Drosophila melanogaster: one gene and its partners. The protein of the gene in region 4 interacts with the protein of the main gene of each other region in a pairwise test. Each region holds a gene or a part of one and is shown on either strand. Other genes may lie near its edges. The genes, in order: CG14354, Vti1a, BORCS6 and CG15638.

Region 1 (3,502 bases), on a different chromosome or scaffold from region 4:
CGCTCCCCAATGAGCATTTTACGGGTGGAAACCTTTGGCTTTCCAGCCAACTTTCACGATATCCCAACTGATGACCCAATTAATACGGTGACAAGCAACATTTATTTATTGCCATTTCTGCTTATGTAAGTAAACTTTTGCAAGCGAGCGAGAATCGAAAAACTTTAAACTTAATGTTCTTGGCAATGTTCTTTGTCAATTCCCCAAAGAGAATACCGAAACTAATCATTATTGAAAACGTGTGGTGAAAACTTTAGTAATGCCCCCTATTGTGTCACGCCTTTTTCCACTGTCACTGTGACCGCAAAAAAAGGAAAGAAAAATGTGAAAACAAAAAAAAAGAGCCAAAAGTTATAACAAAATAGCTTTGGTCAAATTGTTTTACAAGCCAATTGGGTTTCGTGTCCCTTTTTGGCTCTGTCATTTTGCCTTTTTGGAGTTCGCTTCGATTGGCGTTGCCAAATCCCCCAGGCGTTTGGCAGAGAAAGTTCCAATGTGCCCACACTTTTCACTCGAAACATGGTCTCATGCTGCTGATAAACTTTAAAATAAAGTCCGGAATTTGGTCCTTTTAATACATTTTTTTTTTAAACTATTTTAGCAAAATAATATGTATTTTACAGGGCACATCAATTAGAAAATATAGCTTTACCCTGCTCATTATACTCCCATCCCTCCACCTGTCCTTTAACTTCTGGATCTTGGAGATTTCCTGGCTGGTCGTGATTGTGCAGCATTTGTTGCTGCTGCTGCTGCTGCTGCCCAAAAGTTCCACCGATGTCCTCCTCGTAGGATCTTCGGTCCCTTACAGCCTTGTTCCTTGCTTCGTTGGCGGCACAGGCAGCCCTGTAGGCGGCCTTCCTCGTGTTGGTATAGTCCAGTTTGGCGGAGCGCAGCTGCTGCATCAGCATCTCTGCTCTCTGGCGAGCGGTTTCCACCAGCTGGTTCTTTTCGCACAACTCCTGCTGGGCACCGGATGCAGCTGCCTCAGCATTGCTCACTGCCTCCTCGGCAACTTTTACTGAGCTCCGAAGCGATTGCAACAGCGTTTGACATTGCTTCGCTGTGGCAACAGCGACATTGACATTTGTCTGAAATTTAGCATATCATAATAGAATTGGTAATAAAAGGGGGTTTAGCACATACCTGTGAACCAACCAGTGAGTAGGTTTCCTCCTGCACAATAATCTCCGCCTCGTGCACCTCGTCCTGCAGCTGCTCCATAAGTTGTTGTTTCCCCGCCAGCGCCGCCTCAGCGGCCTTGGCCGCAGCAATGGCTTTCTCGGCCAGCTGGTGTTTCACCTGGCGGGCAGCAGCCAGAGCAGCTGGTGCCTGAGTGTCCGACGCCTTCTTGGCCTCCTGGGCAGCCTTCTGGGCAATATTCGAGGCGGTCTGCTTGGAGTTGCCTTGTCTTATGCCCATGGTGAGGTCCGCGGACTGGTCCAGAAGCTGGGATCTGGACTGCTGCTGGTTCTGCGGGCAACTCGAATGACGTTGGTAGCAGGCTGCAAGGCTGGACGAGATCATGAGCAGGTGATAGAGAAGGATGTGGCACAGGAGCCGTGGCAAGGCAATGCGCATAATTATGTGAACCTTCAAAGTTGCTGCCAAGTTTGCCTTTTCAACTCAAGGCTCGAACATTTTTACATTTCAAGTAGTTCCGCTAAGCCAACGTGGCAAGCGTTCTAGGGAATAAAATGTTTAACAAAGTTTTTTTGTTAGAGAAACTCTGGGTAACGGGGACGCATAACTTTTCCGCGCAATTTAACTTAACGTTCACGAGTTTCTCATTTTTATTTTCTTTTGTACCTTATTCACTTAGTTTTTTTTTTCTCAGCCGTCGCTTTTCCTTGACATGAAAAGTAGACTAACAATGCATGTGGCAACAATTTTTTTTTTCGGCCGGTTGTTGAACAAGAATTAATTGGGTCGTCAAAGTCCTTCAGCCCCGATAAGCTTCCAGCCTTATCGGAATGGCAGGGAAAATCAAGAAGGAAAAAACTGGGAAAACCCAAGACGATTGCTCGGGTCATTTGTGCGTTGATCTGTTAATCCGAAAAGGGTTTTTGCCGGCTTCCCATGACGAAAGCCCCGACATTTCCTACCATTTGATTGAGGACCCGAAAAAGCTGCGCCATTAAGCGGGCAAGTTTGTTACGGCCAACATAAGAGGCCATGGCTAGAGCCACTAGGCGTATGCGTAATAAAATCAACAACTTTAAATTTGAGCCCCCACACACGCACACACATTTCTCTCTCAATTAGAGATAACAGATAACTTTAACTGCTTAAACTGTGTATATATGTGGCCAGGACCACAGTCCAAATTTGACCAGAGTGCGGTTGTTTACCAAAGTCGTCCCCTGGCGCAAAAGTCCGTATTTCGGCCAGGACACACTCTCGGCCTTGTTCATGGACCTCGTCACTTGCATTCGCCTTTTTGCGTATTCAAGTGCCTGTGCGGAAGTGTTCCATACCAATACCCACTGCCCCATCCTACGCACATACCGACTCCACTCAAAAATGACACTCCAAGTGCGGAACGTGGGCGGCAAACCGCATAAAAAAAGTATCCTAGAAGAAATTCATATGCATGCCAGCAGAATGCTTTCTTTTTGCCATACACTTAAAAAAAAATTGTGTGCAAGATAAAAATATTAGAATATGTATGCATATGCATATGTAATGCATTAAATGCATTAATCTTACGAACTATGAATATCGCAATAACGAGTTTGTCTCAAAGTAAAGTCAATATCAGTGTTTCCAAGTGTATGGATCAACCAAAACGGAGTTGAAATAGCCTCATAAAAAACCGAAGGCATAGTTTCTGTGAGAAATATGATGTCTTAAAGGCTGGAGAATGAAAACAAACACATCAATTTTCTGAATGTCTGGTCTTTGCGAAAAACACATAGATCAAACTCAAAGAGAGCTCCCTTGTATACGATGTGTTTTCTTTCTTATTTCTGATTTACTTGCCACTCAAATATCCTTCTTCGATATTGCAGAGCCCACTGCCCCGTCGCCGACACCATCGGATGAACCGTCTAGGGAGGGAGGTCCTGCCCACAAATTCAATTTCCTCTGCAGCCAGTCCATCGAACATGTCCTGTGCCTGCTGCTAACTGAAAACTGAAGCTGAAAACCAACTCGTCTATGCGGCGAGGTGGCGAAGTGCCGATGTCGTTCTGGTGTTTGAACCGCATATAGACATATATATTTGCCAGCTCTCGAGTATATATAATATTTATGCCACTGTAAGTGCTTATTGATGTCAGATCTGAAATTGGAATCTGCTTGGGCTTTTGTTCTTATTCCATGCGAATGCACATTGAAGTTAAGGTCTCGATTCGATTCGATTCGATGCAATGCGATGCAATGCGATGCGATGCTCGATGTTTTGCGGACTCTCAATTAAGCAAGTTGACATTTTGACATGTCTGAACTGAAACCGAAACTTGTTCAAAAAATTGAAAATTCATACATGCGCGTACACAAC
Region 2 (3,853 bases), on a different chromosome or scaffold from region 4:
CAGCTCCAACTCTGGGACACCGGTGGCATGGAGCGTGTGGCCTCGGTCACATCCTCGTACTACAAGTTCGCCGAGGGAGCCATCCTGGTCTTTGCTTTGGACAACGCCGCTTCGTTCCACTCGCTGTCGCAGCACTTGCTGGACATTGTGACCTATGCAGAGAATGCCAAGATCTTCATCTGTGGCAATAAGAGCGATCTGGATGGCAGGGAGCCGGAGGTCAGCGATGAGGAAGTGGAGGCCTTCTGCGAGCAGTGCCACTCACTGATCAGTGCCACGTACAAGACCTCCTGTCGCAGCGGCGCCGGTGTGGAGGAGATGTTCCGTGACATCTCTAGGCAACTGGTCCACGCCAATCGCTCCAAAATGGAACTGCAGGCACTGGAGCACAAGAGCTTCCAGGTGGACACTGCGAGCAGCGGCGCGGCGACCAACGAGGAGGACGCCTCCTCCTGCGGCTGCTAGCAGTTGGGGAACATTGAGTTCGGCTAGGAACCCTTATTCCCGCCAGGCTCAATGCTCACGCAGAGATGCATTTTTACTGTTTCCTTTATTTATTGATAGCTTTCGGCTATGTTATGATTTTTAGATACGTACATGTTCAATTCGAATTTTTACGAAAAATACGTCCCGAACGCGAACACGAGTCATAGAGTAGGATTAGTTTCTATTAACCAGGCGCCAAACATTAACCACTTAAACTTTGTACACGTAAGCTAGGATGGCGGATACGCGAGTGATAGGTTAGAAATCTGCGGTAAGAATTAAAAAGTAATAGGAATTCCATCGATTAACAAGAAGGTCAATTTAATCTTAAAGGTAAAAGGACAACAAAATATATAGACATCGATTGACCGCAGATAACTACTCTAAGCTTCGACTCTTATTGCACGTAATACTCCATCCTATCTTATATAGATTAGTGCGTAATCTGCAGCTTTCTTCCACAGAATATCTCGTAAAAATAAAATATACTAAACAATAAATAATCAACTCACGAAATTGGAATGGACAGGCTTCTATAACATTTGAATTTGGGCTAAGATCATTGGCTATTGGTTTGCTAGCTAAAATTACTACGACGAGGCGGTGCTGCTTGAACTGGGTGCGAAGGTCAGATAGAGACTGACGCCCACGGCCACCACAAAGCAGACACCCACTCCATACAAGACCACCTTCTCCCGCAGGGCTCTTAACATCATGGTATTCAGAGTGCGAGAAGCTCTTCCCAGCTCGGCATTGGTTTCTCGAAGTCGAGCCCTGGCTCCCTGTAGAGTTTCCCTTTGGTGGTGCAGATCATTTAGGACCTGGGCGCCCAGTTGCTCCGTCTCCAAGGCCACTCTGTACCCTTCGGTTAACCTGTTGCCCGTCCGTTCAATCCTTTCCGAGTTGTCCAAGAGGCGTTGGCGTTGATCTGTACTTATGGACACATCCTCATAGCTGTCACCCAAGTCCAGAGTGGTGAATGTGTTGGCTTGGGAGCGCTGTTTGTCCTTGGTCAACCTGTACTCCGCCTGCAGCCGTTTCAGTTCTGCCTGGGCCACCTGCAGCTTTCCGTTGAAGCTGCTCCGCAGTCCAGGATTTAGCTCCCTCACCTCCAGACCCATCTGCTCCAGCAATTCCTGAGCCTCGGGCAAACTGGAGTCGATCTTGCTGCACAAATCATGGCGCTCGCCTGGAGTAAATGGACAAATGGTAATCACCATAATGTACAATCCATGGACAATCATCCCACTCACTGTTGTTGTTTTGCTGCTGCAGCCGTCCAATATGGGCCGTTATTTCTGCTATTAACGTGGCGTATTGCTGTTCGTATTGCTCCAGAAGCGACATTTGTGCGGTTTTTATTCTACCTTATTCAGTTGTTTATGGTATTTGTTCTGTTTTAGTTCGCGAAAATTACAGATTTATCGAAGAAAAGAAGTAAACATTGTCCAAGTGTGGCCGAGTCATGAGGTGAACAGTAATACAGCAATCTATAAATACTTTTAAGTCGTGGTCACTCTGATTTCGAGTCAGCGTTGCCATACTCATGTAAAAAACACTGCCAACTTCAAGGACTACAATATTCTCGTAAGAACTCAGATAAAACCAACTTCCGTTTTAAATACGTAAATAAAACACAAACATATCTATTATTTTATAAATTCCATTTTATTGTACTTAGAGTAATTAATAAATTAATTAATTAGGTTCAGCTTTATGCGAGTGGAGATTCTTTGTTAACCTAAGCAACTGTTTTGGCGGTAGTACGATTTAATAATACTACATGATACATATGTACACTGTTCATCACATTTATGTTTTGTGCTGTCCTGGTCCGCGATTAGAAAACTCTTAACCCTCGACCAGTGTGGCCTTGTCCCCTTTTCGGAGCACCAGTTCCAATTGGGACAGCAAGCCAATAGCCCGAAAGTTCTCCTTGAAGAGCACGAAGTCCTCCAGCGGTTTTAGGTACTCCAAGGCCTGGTGGTAGCTTTCCAACTCCTTCAGCATGCATAAAGCCTTCTTATCCTCGGGGTCTGGGGATGTGTGTCCATTGGTTTGGCTGCCGGAGGAGCTGGATCCATTGGGGATCTTTTTTGGCGAGGCGGGAGCAGAGGCGGGTTTGGTGGACGCAGCTCGAGCTGGTGCAGGTGAGTCCTTTCCCTTGGAAGAAAGGGCAGGCGTGGATTTGCCACTTGTTCCGCCTCCCTTGGGGGCGTTCTCCTTGCTGCTGGCACTGTCTCTTCCCCCGCTATTATTGTTGTTCTGCTCGTTGGGACTGGAACTTCGACTGTGCTTGCTGGTTAAGGTTGATTCTGCTAGCGGATATGGTGGTGAGTTCACCGCTGAGTTAATCTCTTGCACTTCGTCATCATCGGGTGACTCCATTTTGGGTCTCTTGGCCAACTGAACGGGCTGGAAGGGACTGGCCCGCTGCGGTGGAACATTTGGCGGCAATTGGGGCTGAAAGGGTTCCCTTTGAGGTGGCATAGTGGGTGGAAACTGTTGCATCTGCTGCTGCTGCTGGAGTTGCTGTTGCATTTGCTGTTGATGCCGCTCGAAATAAAAGTCGTTGAAGCTGGCGAACCCGGGGTGTGGAGTAGGATGTCCGGGATGTCCTGGAAACGGTGGCCATGGGTGGCCCATTTGATGCTGCTGCTGTTGCATATGTTGCTGCTGGAGGGCAAAGTGCTGCTGTTGCTGCTGCTGTTGCTCTTGATAGCTCTGCTCCTTTACATCCATACTGTCATCATCTTCTTCGTATTCTCCGTACTGTTGCATGTAGGTCATGTACTGCTCGGGCATCTCCTCCAGTTTGGCCACTCTTTCAGCGCTCGCGGGCGGAAAGAGATGGGCTAGGTCCTGTACGATGTCCGGGATCCACAGGGAGGATCCTAGTGGCTTCAACTGGTTGCTGGCTAGTTTTTGGGCAAAGCCTTGAAGATGAGTCTCTCGGAAACGGTTTAACCAGCGATTGTCTGCTATAAAGGATGTGCTCCCTATGACTTGTCTGGCATTCTCCGCCTTGTCCTTGATCATTCCGTGGGTAATGCTACCTCGCAGCTGGGGATTGATATTGGCCCTTACTAGCCATTCGTATACCACTGCATTGATGTAGGCGCACTTTCGGCTCCTCTCGATCTCCTCCACCATGGCCTGCTGCTCAACGGCCTCCAGGTTGGAGGGAACTTCCAGACGCAGGGTGGGCAGCGCATTCGACTGCAGTCGCCTGCCACCCAAGACACTGGGGTCAAAGTGCAGGGCACATACCACTGGCTTTTTGAAGGGCACAATTCGTCTTAGGGAGGCGTGGCACGCCTCCTTCCACAGCTTGTGGAAGGGGTTCTCCGGCCGGGGAAACGCAAAG
Region 3 (3,647 bases), on a different chromosome or scaffold from region 4:
CGCGCAGCATGGGAGAAATCACCGTGGAGCTGTACTGGAAACACGCGCCCAACACCTGCCGCAACTTTGCCGAACTCTCGAGAAGGGGCTACTACAACAACGTGGTGTTCCACCGGATCATCAGGGACTTCATGATCCAGGGCGGCGATCCCACGGGCACTGGCCGCGGAGGCGCCTCCATCTACGGATCGGAGTTCGCGGACGAGCTGCACGGCGACTTGAGGCACACGGGCGCGGGCATCCTCTCGATGGCCAACTCTGGACCGGACACCAACGGGTCCCAGTTCTTCATCACGCTGGCGCCCACGCAGTGGCTGGATGGCAAGCACACGATCTTCGGCAGGGTCTACACGGGCATGGAGGTGGTCAAGCGGATCGGCATGGTGGAAACCGACAAGAACGATCGCCCCGTGGATCCCCTAAGGATCATCAAGGCCAAGGTGGAGAAGCTGTGAGCCAAGGAGGTGGATTTTTTGGAGGAACTGCTAGAATAAGTACGATTTAAACAAGCGAAAGGTATCTTTCCATATGGATTTTATAACACTGATTATATGTATTTACGGAATGACTAGAAAGACAAGATCTCTTTGATTGGTTGATCACAGGATAGCGTAGCCCTATTTTACATGGTGCTGTCCAACATGTCCACCAGCCGCTTGATCTGCCTTCTGCGGAAGAGAAAGTCCATTACACTAAAGGGATCTGTCTTGAATTGACCCACTTACATGCGCTGACCCAGCTGCTCTGTGGGTTTCATCGACTTGGTGATTTCCTCCGCCTTGGCCAGCAATTGGTACTGGCACTTGATATTCGCGTCCAAAGTGTCCGTCAGCTTGTTGACCGCGTTGCGATGGACCTCCACGTTGTCGGCCGTTATGGAGGAGATTGAGTGCAGCAGGTTGCCCAGGTTTTCCATCAGATTGTCCACCGAGCTGGCCAAGTACTGAGCCTCCAGTTCGATGTCGCTCAAGACGCTGCCGTCCACTTCGGGAATGTTGCGCGACTGCAGGAACCGCCGCGTGAGCAGACCGTTGCCGGAAGTGGCTCCAATGGGACCCATGGAGCTCAGGGGCGTGGTGTGCTCCGAGGAGTAGGCCGAAGCCGCCACGCGCTCGCGCAACTTGGCCTCTAGATCGTGGGCCACAAAGTGGCGCATCCCGTCGGAGTCACTGGTTTCGCCGTCCAGCTCGTAGGGCACAGCTGAAAGAAGGAAGATGCTTTAGTCAGGAACTATGGGTAGATAACCTAGAACCCACTGCTCTCTGCCTTCAGTCTGTGCCTTTCGATGTCGCCGGAACTGCCCTTAGAGTTGCTATTCGAGTTGCTGTTGTCCTCCTCCTCCAAGGGATCGTCTTCCTCGTCGGGATCCTCGCCCGAATCCAGGTTAAGGTATTTCTCGCCGTTGGGTCTTGTCTTTGTGCTTCCGGGAATCGCAGCATGGCCAGTGGCTGTGGGCGTCAGATCCTGGAGCACGTGCTCTGGCACCGCTCCCGGATACTGAGCCAGGAACGGAATTTCCGTGTAGGAGGAGGCGGGCGTGGCTCCGGATCCAGAACTCCTGGCTGCCCCTTCCGATGGGCCACTCTCCTCGGCCACATAACCGTAACGTGGGCGGATGGGAATGTCCTGGTGGCGGTGCGACATTCTGCACTGCTCTTTTCAATCCAAGGAACTTTAGGCAGACTAAGAAATGTATGTCAATTTTCTGAATGAAAACCAAAACAAAGCATTTACTGGTATATACCAAATGGTTATCGATAACATCTATTTATCGAATGTATTTGCATTAGGCCCTGTTCAGGCTGAGGTCCACCTTACCTATATCGAGCCTTTTTTACGTAGGATTGACCTATGCAACTTGATGTGCGTAAACTATATTTTCCTAACCCTGATGGAAATTTCGGTTTTAGTGAGAAACAGATTTCAGATGTTATTTGGTTGAGTATATGACAGTTCGATAGTATCGCACACTTACTCTTCACGATTTTGCTTTTACCAAGAAATGGTCACACTCCAGCTCGCACTATCGAGTCATCGATAGGACCGATAGGCCAGCCCGTTAAATCGAAGACAGTCGTGTTTATAATTTGCGGCTCCGAGGTGTGCGGCGCGCATTGGGCAGACTGGAGTGAACTAAGTAAATCTGCAGCGTTCTAATTTAATTGCGCGATGAGCGCGTAAAAACACACCTGCGTAGCGCTGCAATAAAACCAATGTAGATTTTTGTTTATATGTTCGCGTTTCCATCGTATTTTTCGAGTCTTATTCGTTTTAATTGTTAGTGCTCGTACGCTAAGTGAATTGCTAGCAACTTGGGGCTAAAAGTGCCAAAAAGAGCCAGAATCGAAAAGAAGCGGCTAAAGAGGAATAAGCGAAAAGGAAGCAACGAAAACGGTGTTTTGCTCTCTTTCTCCTCTCTCATCCTCGCCATGTGTGTGCGTGTGCAAATGTGTGTGTTGGCGTCGCTAAAAAAGTGCATGTGAAGATTAGGAAAATAATAAGGAAGGCAACGAAAAGTAAAATAAAATTTGATGTACAAAATACGCAAATTGGTGACAAACAATGTACAAGTGGCATACATGAAATAAAGTTTTATGCAAAAAAAACAAAATCGACTGCAGTGCGTGCACTTGTGTGTATGTGCCGCTGCATATGTGTATGTGTGCAGTGTGGAAATAAAGCAAGAGAGAAAAAAAAACTGTTTGCAGCCGGGGTACAAATTCCAATTGGAGTCTCAAGGAGCATAAATTCCCATTCGACGCATGCGTGGCTGCTAAAAAAAGCAAGTAAGTTAAATTGTTTGTACTAAAGAATCTTATAAAATGCAACTGAAAATGGATAAAAGTGTAAAAAAAAGGAAAGACTTTTTTGCCTTCTCTGTTTTCTACGGGTACGTACGAATGTGTGTGTGTGTGTGCTCTCTTCTATTTTGTTCTTGACTTCTTGTTCTTTTCTTCTTCTTGGCCAGTTACTCTTATGCTTTGTCTTTCTTCTCAGGCCGTTCTGCTTCTTTCTTTTAACTGCAAATTGTGCAGTCAGCAAGTATGAGAGCGAGAAAGAGACAGCGATCTTTCTTTTTCACCCACCCACTTCTTCCCCTCTTCCTCTAGCGGTTATATTCGCTTTATTGTATTGGTGCTTTTCCTATCTATATCTACCGTTATGTTTCGATTGCGATTTCGTAATAACTGCGATAATATTTGCTCTCTCTCGCTCTTCTTCTCTTTCGGCTTTCCACTCTCTTCCCTTTTAGTTATGTGTGTGTAACTGCACATTTGAATTGTTGTTGTTTTTATTAAAATGCGTGGGTTGATTTTTCAATCAATCAATCAATCGTTTATTTTGGCATCGATAATATGGAAAAGTGGATTGATATGTGGACAAGAAAAGCATGTGATGAATCAGGAGAAAGGAATTACTCGATAATTAGCTTCTAACTTTTATATTCTGTAAAAAAATGTATTTTTAAACGTCTAAATCCAATAGGAAAAACAAGCAAGTTGGTCGAAAATAAAAGAACTCAATTTCTGGATCCTTGTTTTGTTAAGTATTTCCCTATTTCGCACTTTAAATTCCATTCCATTTCTATAAACAAATGTTGTCGCACTCTTACTGTTTATTTACATCGCATCGAAGAAAGATTTTCC
Region 4 (2,785 bases):
AATCAATAGACGGCGATAAAGGAGATAGAAGGACAGGCAGCAGGCTGCTTGGAGCCGGTCGAGCACTTGCCTAATGAAGTTGTTCCTTAAATCGGCAAAGGCATCGACGAAGGACCACGAAGGACCAGCGAGGAGTAAAAATAAAAAGGAAACGCTTTCTGGGTTCCCCGGACAACGGCAATAACAACATCAATGCACTTAATGCTCTTGTTTGCTTAACTTTATTTGATGTCCTGGCCTTGGTTACTTTTCCCATACCCTGCGCATAACCATATGTACATATAAGCCAAAAGCCACGCAATTTGCCATGGCTTTTGTCTATGCCATATGTACAAATGCAGGAAATGTAATTTGTAGATAGCAGAAAAATTCCGATTAGAAGGCGGCCACTGATTTGCGATTGCTGATTTTATGATTTTATCTACGAAATGCGAGTCTCTCGAATTATTATGATATGTATTATCCCATGTACAGTACAATGTTTTAAATTATTTCTCGTGCTCAATTTGCCTGAATTACATTTTTTTTTTTGTGCAGAGCTCGCAAAGTGTATTCAATTATTCAGGTCTTACGTACTCTAACTTTAGCTGCTGTCCTTCTGGCTGGGCTTGTTATTGTTTTCGAGCGATGACTATGTTGTTTACAAATGAACGCAGCTTACGCAGCACGAATGGCAGCACAAGGACCTTTTTCTGCCAGCCACATGCTGACCACTGGCTCCCAGACAAGAAAAGAGGAAGAAGAAAAAAGAGTGATGAGGAGGGGGGGGGGCTCGTACGAAAGCAGGACATCATTTTGCTGGTCTCGAGTGTAATGCATTTAGCGGTGAGCGGTGGCACGGAAAATATTCGCTCTGCCGATATGGTTTCGCCTTGCACCGAATACTTGGCTTATTTTGCGGTCAAATTAATGCAGCTGCAGGAGGCAGGAGGACCAGGGCCAGGATGTCTGCAACTCGTTCACGGTGCATGTATTTTTAATTAATTGCAAGACCCCCGCCCCATCCCCTACATTTTCCGCAAGGTAACAGGAGCTGGTTTTGCCCGGCCATCGCATGCCATTTCGTCCTCCCATGTGGTCAGCCCCATTCCTCGTCCTCCCTTCCTTTCTCGTTCCACGTTCGTGTCCGTGTTACTCCTGGATTCCTGCCTCCTGGAAGGAGTGTGTCTGTGTGCCTGGGCACTCCTGGCACAATAATAGGTTTACTTCCACTTTTTTGCAGTATCCTGCATTGGCGATGCTACCAGGGATGTCGATTTCAATTATGGAAGACATGAATTAATTATTGCTCTCAACTTAAGTAATTGATTTAAATTAGTTATTTCATTGAACAAGTCGAATTTGATATTCAGGGCCAAAGCAACAGTATAAAATATATGATTTAACTTTTTTAAGATAGCTGTCTATATTGTGTAGCCTTTCTTTATGGTTTAAAATTGATATTATAAACAATTTAATTTATTAAAGGGCATTTTAAAGTCGCATAAAGAAGGTTTAACATTTTGTTATCATAATTTTTTCGCATATGACCGCAAGTCACCAGCAGCGCTACATCATTTGCGGTTAATTGTAATTAAAGTTCAGTGGTATGCTCCAAAGCACACATGTTGCCCCTTCTGCCGGCTAACTTTTCCGGGTGGCCACCACAAAATACCGAACCATATCGCATCCTGTGCGGAGCTCAGAATTTCATGCTCATGATGTCACAATTTGAAACACTTCGACATACATACATACATACGTATTCATAGATGTCAATTTCCCAAGCCAAATTTTTGTGACAACAATCGACTAGAACGGAGATTATAATCCACCGCCCAAGCTAGAATGCCGGAAACGAAACCCAAGACGCACTGCCGACCCAGCAATGGCCTCGACCAGACGGAGGAGTCCGACACTCGTCTGGCTGCCAATCTGGTCACCCAAAGGAACCTCCAATTGCACCCACGTCCACAGCACCCACGCCCACAGCGAGCTCGTCGAGATGCCACCGGCTTTACGTCCAACCAGGAGGTGCGGCTAAAAGCCGGCGACATGCGCATGGCCCGGCTGCAGATCAGTCTCTCCCAGCTGCGAACCGCAATGGAGGAGTCGGGCAAGCAGCTGAAGGACCTCTGCCAGCAGGTGCGGTTGAATGTGGATGCTGAGTGAAGGGTCCTGGCTGAAGAATTCCTTTGCAAATGCATAATCATTCGGTTTAGGTGGTGCCAAATTCAAGTGCTAACGATGAAATAAAGATAAAAAGAAATAATGTACATAATGTCATTTGGATCTCAATTTTCTTCCTCTTTTAACGAAGATGTTTTATGTTGGGCTCACAAAATACTATTTATTTATTTGCTTGATACTTTAATTTTTGATGCAACATGAATGCTATAAAAAATCATAAGATTATAAAACTTTTAATGCTAGTCCATACAAAACATATATACATACATATACCACGCATATTTGCGAAATCACCAATGACCGAATTATGACAATCAAAATACTAACGAATTTAATTCCGTTTCTCATTGCAGGCTGCATGGATCCCATGTCAAATTCATTTATGAGTTTTAGCACTGCAACAGACGAAGCTCATTCGAAGCCCACCAAAAAGCATTTGGCTGTTGTTCCACGAAGTCAACAAAGAGAGACAGGTATGTATGTACATAGATATGTGATGTATACATATACATATGCGATATATGCGAGTTGCATTCATATGTTAATATGTACATAAATGGAGGTGTGCAGACTGTGCTTTCTCATAATTCCCGGCCCCAAATCCCTTTCGCACTTG

Evidence for each region.
Region 1: the proteins of CG15638 (region 4) and CG14354 interact in a two-hybrid assay, tested with the Drosophila melanogaster proteins (one large-scale study listed by BioGRID).
Region 2: the proteins of CG15638 (region 4) and Vti1a interact in a two-hybrid assay, tested with the Drosophila melanogaster proteins (one large-scale study listed by BioGRID).
Region 3: the proteins of CG15638 (region 4) and BORCS6 interact in a two-hybrid assay, tested with the Drosophila melanogaster proteins (one large-scale study listed by BioGRID).

Annotation. Positions count from the first base shown.
Region 1 is NT_033777.3:25,813,637-25,817,138, reverse strand, and holds CG14354 (uncharacterized protein), read right to left. Parts: upstream 1,661-3,502; 5' UTR 1,582-1,660; coding exon 1,147-1,581; intron 1,092-1,146; coding exon 630-1,091; 3' UTR 565-629; downstream 1-564.
Region 2 is NT_037436.4:690,946-694,798, forward strand, and holds Vti1a (vesicle transport through interaction with t-SNAREs 1a), read right to left. Parts: upstream 1,975-3,853; 5' UTR 1,834-1,974; coding exon 1,740-1,833; intron 1,676-1,739; coding exon 1,077-1,675; 3' UTR 541-1,076; downstream 1-540. Other genes in the region: RabX6, read left to right, coding at 4-465; CG13894 (uncharacterized protein), read right to left, coding at 2,338-3,853.
Region 3 is NT_037436.4:539,038-542,684, reverse strand, and holds BORCS6 (BLOC-1 related complex subunit 6), read right to left. Parts: upstream 1,835-3,647; 5' UTR 1,745-1,834; exon of another isoform or gene 1,684-1,744; 5' UTR 1,645-1,683; coding exon 1,257-1,644; intron 1,201-1,256; coding exon 726-1,200; intron 669-725; coding exon 623-668; 3' UTR 538-622; downstream 1-537. Other genes in the region: Cypl (Cyclophilin-like), read left to right, coding at 8-455.
Region 4 is NT_033779.5:13,534,764-13,537,548, reverse strand, and holds CG15638 (uncharacterized protein), read left to right. Parts: upstream 1-1,770; 5' UTR 1,771-1,827; coding exon 1,828-2,151; 3' UTR 2,152-2,258; downstream 2,259-2,785.